Linked DNA regions of Callithrix jacchus. The main gene of each other region encodes a partner of the protein of the gene in region 2 in a complex. Links are inferred from orthologs where the notes say so. Each region holds a gene or a part of one and is shown on either strand. Other genes may lie near its edges.

Region 1 (4,177 bases), on a different chromosome or scaffold from region 2:
ATTATCTTGTTTGAGAACTGAGGCCAGAAGGGAGGCACTTACCCAAGATTCTGTAATCAGGGAAGGTTCTGCAATCAGGATCAGATCTCCTGATCCTTACTATACAGCAAACTTAGCTTTTCGGATGGTGACCTAGAAGGTCAAACAAAAGGACAGGAAAGGACATAAAATAAAAAGATATGAGATATGGCTTTCTTCTTCATCAGCCAATGCAATTTCATCACACACAAAGGACACCAAAGCTGATAAATAATGTACAAGTGTTTCTTTTTCCTTTCTTGTGGCTACATTTTCAAATTTAATTTATTGTACATTTATATAATTTCTGACAAATTTAAAAAAAACTTTTCCTTAAAGATAATTTCAAATGGATAAAAGAAATAGTATTATAAACCTACATGAATCCATCATCCAGCTTTCAACAATTACCAACTGAAGGCCATCTTGTTTCATCTATAACCCCACCCACTGCTCCCCCGCACCCCCGACTTTTTCAAGCTCACCGGAATATCTGGCTTTTGTATTTTATTCCAGAAAAATTTAAACGTATACCAAGGAAAGCAGATAAATATAAGGAACTCACTGCGTATCAATCAGCTTAAATTATTATTAATTTAGGGCTAATTTTTTTTCATCTATACCCCTCCCCATTTCCCCCCACCGCTGAGATTATTTTGAAGCAAAACCTAGTCATTAATGTATTTAGAAGTCAACCTCAGACATTACATTATTTAATCCGTAAATATTTTTGCATATGTCTCTACAAAAAAAGGACAATTTGAAAACATAACCACAATACTACTGTGACGCCTAAAAAAACTGACATCAATTCCTTAAAAAACATCAAATATCGAATCCGTGTTCCAATTTTCCCGATGCGTCTTAAACGTATTTTTACAGTTGGTATGTTCGATTCAGGATCCAAACAAGGCCTACTCATCGCATGTGGTTCATCTCCAGCTCGCTCTCGTTCTCCATCTCTTTCTTTCTCGCACCCCCCACACCTTTTATTTAACTTTTCAATATGGAAAAATTACAATCTATGCTATTTTCAGGCAATTCTCAAATAGCAAATTATTTCATTGTTAAAAATCGATATATCTCTTTTATCTTTTATTCTACGAAAGAAGTTGATGGTAGAAAGGGCACTACAATTAGCGAATCTGCATAATTTATAATTTTTCTCATTCTATTACGCAGATTATTTATCTCCATAACAATACATAATATCTTCAGGAGCCAGGCTTCATATTACATGCTCTATACGCACTATTATACAGTAAACGTCGCTGAGGTAGATACTATTATTATCACCATTTTACAAACATGGAAACCGAGACACAGAAAGAACAGGAGCCTTGCCCAAGCTGGGCGTTGGCAAGCAGGAATTTGAATCCAGCTCTGACCGATTGTGAAGCCACTAGCTAATCCCGTCTCTACCCGACGAAAAGAGGAAATCATCGACCCTTTCTCCCCACCCCCACCCCGAAACCTGAAACGAGAATCCAGATCTTCCCAGCAGCCGACGTGTGATCACTGCCGTTCCTCCAACCGCCATAGTAAAGCCAGGTTTCTCTGGCAACTGATATCCATAGGCAGACACGTCACCCTGGAGGAGGGCGTATGCTCTTCAGCCAATCACAATCGTCTTGTCTAAGTTTTAGAATGTTCCATAACCAAATGATTGGATAACCACCCCCACGTCAGCAATGACACTTAGCCGCAGTAAAGGCGGGTGCTAGCAACCTGCTTCTTCACTGTTAAGGCCTACAGCAAACCAATCACCTTCCTCCGTTAGTGCGAGTTCCGGCCAATGACGTTCGCCCTCTTAGGTTTTTAGCCCGCCCTCCAAAAGCGTGACAGCCGTTGGGTCATAAGTCTATAGGGCAGAATGTTCACGTGGCCTATTTCACGACCCAGAGTTCCTCTGACCAGAAGGTTTTTTTTTTTTAATTTTTCTTTTCTTTTTTTTTTCTGCAGGGAGGCATTATGGGTTTGTGTTTCCCCCCTCCTTCACTGGGAGAGGAAGTGTCTACGTGGCCTGCGGAAATAGGATAGGCGGAAATGAGCTAAGGTTCCCGCGAGTGGGGAAGCGAGAGGTCATATCTGGGGCCACGCCCCCAGACCTGTGGCGCAACTCTCCGAACATGAAAAAAAAAGACGCAATGGGGGTTCTGCTGTGTTTGCGAGTGAGGGTCCCGAGTGCCGCGGGCGCAAGGCATTAAGGCCAGTGTGTCAGTGCGCGGGAAGGCTCGCGTGGGGCCCTGGGGTTGCTCTGGGAGCGCGCACCGGCCCTCGTGGCGCGGGAGGTAATGTGTGTGCGCAGGCGTGCGCCCCGGGCGTCGGGCTGGTGAGAGCCACAGCGCGCACCGGCACTCGGGCGCGCGGGCGCGCGTGTCTGCTGGTGTTGGGGGGCGGTGAGGGGAGGGGTTAGCTACGGCGCGCAGGTTGTTATCTATTTCTGTATTGTTTGAAAATGTTCTAATGAAAAGGAAAATAATTAAGGCAAGGCGACAATAACAGAGATAAAAGGGGCTTTGTCAGAAATATTTTGGCTTTCTCTACTGATTTAATTAAAGACTTAAAAAAATACACTCCCTACGTTTTCCTTTCTGCCAGAATCCCACTGTAAACCACAGCCCTCCAGTGGTTTAAGAGCCAAACCCTTCCATCGCCACATTAGCAACTGCAAAGAGAGGCTTCTTTCAAGTTCTCTAGTATCCTCCTTCCTCCCCTCCTCCAAACCTCCCCCCCTCCCTCCAAGGCTGCATGCAGTTTTCTTGGCACAAATACAATTTTCCTATGGGAATGTCTATACGACAGCATTCCCCTTCATTAGGGACTCCGAATTTTTGTGGGGATTGAGGCGCTCTTACCTTTGCGTCCTGATTTCCAAGCACGCACACTGCCCTTCTTCAGGCAAATGCGCACTGTTAATTTTCCAGAAAGTTCTGTGGGTTAGGGTTATACCTCTCGAGTCTCCCACTAGATGCCGCCAAATCCCAGCAAAGGATTGGCTGTTTGGTCCCTGGGATTATGGGGTTTTGTTCTCCCCACTCCCCTTCTGATTTGCTGAACACTACAATCTATGAGGATCATGGCTGTCGTTCATTCCTAGGGAAAAATAAAATCAACTTCTGTAAATAACACAAGTAGGCAGGGGACTATGATCCAAGGTCCAAATAATTTTGCTTCTTTCTTTCCTTTTCTCCTTGGAAAAAAAAAAAGGTCCCTCTCCAGCACTCTCTTCTTTTGTCCTTGCCTTGTTTAATCAGAGTTAATGAATGACCCAAGCACTGATGTTGAATATGCTAACCCTTTTTCCTCACCTTTTCAAATGCTCACAATTCACCCAAACTGAAAATACAGATAGCTGTTCAGTCAGTAAAGATAGGTAAGAACTCATCAGTAAAACTTGGACCCTGGTATTGAAAACTGATTTTCCTTTTCTCTTGAAATTTGTATCAGATATGTGTGTTTACACCCTATTTTCTGTAGTGTTTTTGGTAAACTTTATTGTGTCTTTGGAGTAAGAGACCTAATTGTAGACCACATTCCATCACCTCAGTACGCTGGGCAAATGATTTATGTTTTGTGACCCTCAGTTTTTTGTATGCTTTCTGTATTTTAGATGCTATGTTATATCCTTCACGTCGATTTTTAAAAAATTCATCACCAAGTCCTTATTAGATGAGCACTACTAGATCAAAGTCAAATAACAAAAATCATATCCCTTTCAGTTATCTATCATATATACTTGTATACACACACAGGGAGGATTTTTTTAGAGCAGTGGTTCCCAAGGTATGTTTTCTGGATGTACCAGAAACATCAGTATAACCTGAAAAGTTGTCAGAAATTCACATTATCAGGTCCGACCCCAAACATAATGAATCAGAAGTTCTCAGGGTGGGGTTTGATAATCTGTGTTATTAACAAACTATCCCAGTGATTCCAGCACACACTGAAGTTTGAGAACCACTGCTTTGGAGAGTAGAAATGCAATGCATATTTTTGTACACACCACTAGAGGGTGCTACAGAATGTAAAGCAAAATAATAAATGATATACAATATATGTTTTCAGACACCCTCCATATTATCAGTCGTATTTTACAGATTAAAAACTAATGTATAGAGATGTCAAATTATTTTCTTAGTGCACACAACAAGTATGG
Region 2 (3,685 bases):
CTATCATTCATTAGGTAATTAGGCGCCACACCCAAAGCCATAACTCTGAAAGACAGGCAAGTATTATTCCCATTCAACAGATAAAGAAACTACTACTCAGAGATTAATGCTATGCAGTTGTAAGTAGCAAAGCCAGGTTTTTCCTTTAGGACTTAGACTCCAAAACTCATGCTCTTCCCCTAGGAACTCTACTGCCTCCATCCTAAAGACTTACAGGACAGGTGGCTGAGGAGTGCCTTTGATGGCTATCCAGTGTCACCATTCTGGCCTCTCCTCAAAGCCCTGTACTGAGCAAAACCAGCCACTGAAATGACAGAGGGTTCCTGATATAAGCAACTCCAGTCAGGATTCTGTATGTGGCCCCTAGGAAGTCCATCCATCATCTTTATACAACTCTATTTGATTACTCAATGCTGTTTCTTTCTATGAGCATGAGCACTGATAACTGGAAAAATTAATGCCCAGGTTCAGACCCAGCCCAGGGTCTTTGACACATGGTCATAATATGGAACATGGGATGGCAGAGGCAGTTTCTTGACTTAACCACACAGCTCATGTTTTAACATGAACAGTTTCCTAGGAGTTACTAAGAAAAGAGCTGTCTTCCTTGAGTCCTCCTATGTGGTACTGCTTTATACACACAATATCCTCAAACAGTTCTGTGAGAAATCAATACTTGCAGTGCATAGGTCAGGAGACTGGGATGCAGAGAGGTTACAACACCTGCCCAAAGCCACGCGGTGCTGGGAGTGTCAAGAGAAAAGAGGCCACAAACATATACTCACTTTCAACTGTTTGGTTCCTTTGGCTGTTTTGAGTCCTATGATTACATGGCTAATTGTTTTGCCATATCCCCCCATAGGATTCTCTGTCTCGCACGGAGTTAGCTCTGTGACTTCACCTTCATAAACTTCCTTGGTCTCCTTTATTCGCAGCCCTGGAAGAGGTGGCAGAGGGGCCATGGTGAGGACAGAATCTTCTCTCTTATTCTGAGAGCCCAAAACTTCTGGGTCACCAGAACTGACAAATCAACCTTAATAATGTACATTCCAGGTGTCATGATGGGTAAAGAGGCAATACAAACATATCAATGTAAATTAGAGGAACCATTAGAAATACAACTTTTTAAGGGAACTTTCTAGGTTCAAATCCAGAACTAGACAGACAAGTTATAATTCTCAAAATTGCCTACTCCATTTCCACGGGGGTGAAATTTAGCTTTAGCCTTTAGTCTCTGAACCCACACTATTCTATTCCACCAGAACAGTGGCTATCAAAACTCCTGTAGCCTTGTTTCCTGCATTTCTGACTCTCAAAGGAAATCTTAAAACCAATGGAATAACTCACTACACACCCTCTGATAATAACAAGCCTGAGCAGGGCATACTAAAATAATTAGGTGTCTATGTCAACAGTGGGAAACACTCCACCCTGCCAGGTGTTATGGGCCTCTGGCTGACTCTCACTGCATACCCCAAGAAGAAATACCCAGTTGTCATGCATTATTTGCAATGTGTTGCTCTACAATTTTTCTTTCTTCCCTCTCTCCCTTCCTTCCTTCCTTTTTCTTTCTCTCTCTTTCTGCTGCTCTAAAATCTCAGTATCTCTCTCCCTCCCCCCACTCTTTCTTGTTGAGTCTTGGTCTGTCACCCAGGCTGGAGTGCAATGGTGAGAACTCGGCTCACTACAACCTCTGCCTCCCAGGTTCAAGTGATTCTCCTAGCTCAGTCTCCCAAGTAGCTGGGATTACAGGTGTGTGCCACCACATCTGGCTAATTTTTTTTTTTTTTTTTGAACTTTTAGTAGAGATGAGGTTTCACCACGTTGGCCAGGCTGGGCTTGAATTCCTGACCTCAGGTGATCTGCCCACCTTGAGCCTCCCAGAGTGCTAGGATTATAGGCATGAGCTACCATGCCTGGCTGCTCTATAATTTTTTAAAGGTGATAACAGAACCAATTTCCAAAGCACTTTATATTAGAATATTGCAAATAAAGGTAAATGTCTCTCCTAATTCTAAACATCATCCACATTAGCTCTTTAATAAACATTTGCTTATTATCCAAGAATCCCTGTTAAATTAATTTTTAGAACATGATCTTATGTTCATTATATGCTTTTGCATATAATGGCTCTGCTTCCTGAAGCACTGTTTTGTTTTGTTTTGTTTTGTTTTGTTTTGTTTTGTTTTGTTTAGCTTAGGCAACTCCTCCTTATAGTCTCAGTTTAAAACTCATCCACTCCCTCTTGACATATCTTTCATTTCTTCCTCATCCTTCAAATTGCCCCCATGGACCTGTGTTTCCACTGGCATAGCACAGCACATAGCAATGCCATAACTTGCAGACCTTGCCTACCCCTCTGCAGACTGTCCATACCTGAGCTAAGGGCCTAGCACATCAGCAGGCACAGTGAATAGATGAATGAATGAAGTCATTAAGGGTGAAGGGGTGTCATTAGGCAGACCATGAATTAATAATACTCAAGAAACAAACCTGCAGACACATTTACATGTTCTATATGGTAATGGCCTGAGAACCCTAGGAGCCAGCCATGTAATGTTATAGCCCGTATCACCATAACACCCTCAACCTCAGCACTAAAAGCCAGGCATAACTGAAGCATACTGTTAGAAATCAAGATTACCATTAATTTAGGAAAGGAAGGATGGCAACTGGGAGTAAACATGAGGGGTACTTTGGAGTTCTGGCAACATCCCCTTTTTTGATCAGCTGCTAGTTTCATGGGTTTTCACTTTATGATAATCCACGTACCTATGTATTTATGTTCTGCATACTTTTCTGTATATATGCACAAAATTACCAAGTCTACTTTAAAAAAATTTTTTAAGTAAATAATACCAGTGAGACTCAGTGAAGTAAGACCACTGATGGCCTAAGTTTAGGAAACACTACCCTAAACCTCTGCTGGAGCTTGTGGTCATGGTTCTCAATCTTTAGGTCCACCTGAGAAGTCCCTATAATGGGACTGGGTAGAGCCGTGGCTGTACCCAGACTATTTGCTTCCAAATCTCAGGGGATGGGGCCCTGCCATCATCATTAGTTTAAAATTCCCCCCATGATTCCAAAGTACAGACACAGTTGAGATCCAGTTATCTAAAGAATAAGTGAAAAAACATTCTCACAAATGTGGAGACATAAGCTAGTTCTGATGGCAGGGAGGCTCGATAAGGATTTGTTGTCCTCACCATTAAGCTACCTCTGTTCTGATATGGAAATATTCCAATGGCACTAAGAAACACTACCTATGGTATCAGGTACGCTCAGTAACTTCCCACTTTTAAATGCAGTCATTATCTTATCATTGGGCCATTTGCCTTCTTTACCCCAGAAACCCAGTCAGGACAAAGACTCTCACATATTAAAGTTAAGGAAAAGTTTTACTCTACCTTAATTTCATCTGATAGCTTATAAATGGAAGTTTTGGAATGGCCCCAAAAGAGAAGACCCATTTCATTTGTGCTTTACCGAATCCTTAGTTCCTGAATACTAATCTTAGATAAAAATTTTCCAAACAACATAAACATATTAGAAGATTGTGGTAAACTTGGAAAATCCTGTACCTTTAAAGTGAACTTTGATTTTTTTAAATCAAACGTTTTATATCCCACAGTGATAAATTCCTTCAAATGGAATGCTTACTTATATTTACTGTTAGACAAATGTG

What was found. Proteins that work in one complex are often made in the same cells at the same time.
Region 1: RUVBL1 (region 2) and MORF4L2 share a complex: the UniProt entries of both Homo sapiens proteins name them as parts of the nuA4 histone acetyltransferase complex. The link is inferred for Callithrix jacchus from reciprocal best matches to the Homo sapiens genes RUVBL1 and MORF4L2.

What each region holds. Positions count from the first base shown.
Region 1 is NC_133524.1:99,740,642-99,744,818, forward strand, and holds the start of MORF4L2 (mortality factor 4-like protein 2), read right to left. Parts: upstream 2,933-4,177; 5' UTR 2,877-2,932; intron 1,562-2,876; exon of another isoform or gene 1,493-1,561; intron 133-1,492; 5' UTR 43-132; intron 1-42. UniProt on the Homo sapiens protein: Component of the NuA4 histone acetyltransferase complex which is involved in transcriptional activation of select genes principally by acetylation of nucleosomal histone H4 and H2A.
Region 2 is NC_133516.1:74,046,347-74,050,031, reverse strand, and holds part of RUVBL1 (ruvB-like 1), read right to left. Parts: intron 938-3,685; coding exon 786-937; intron 1-785. UniProt on the Homo sapiens protein: Possesses single-stranded DNA-stimulated ATPase and ATP-dependent DNA helicase (3' to 5') activity; hexamerization is thought to be critical for ATP hydrolysis and adjacent subunits in the ring-like structure contribute to the ATPase activity.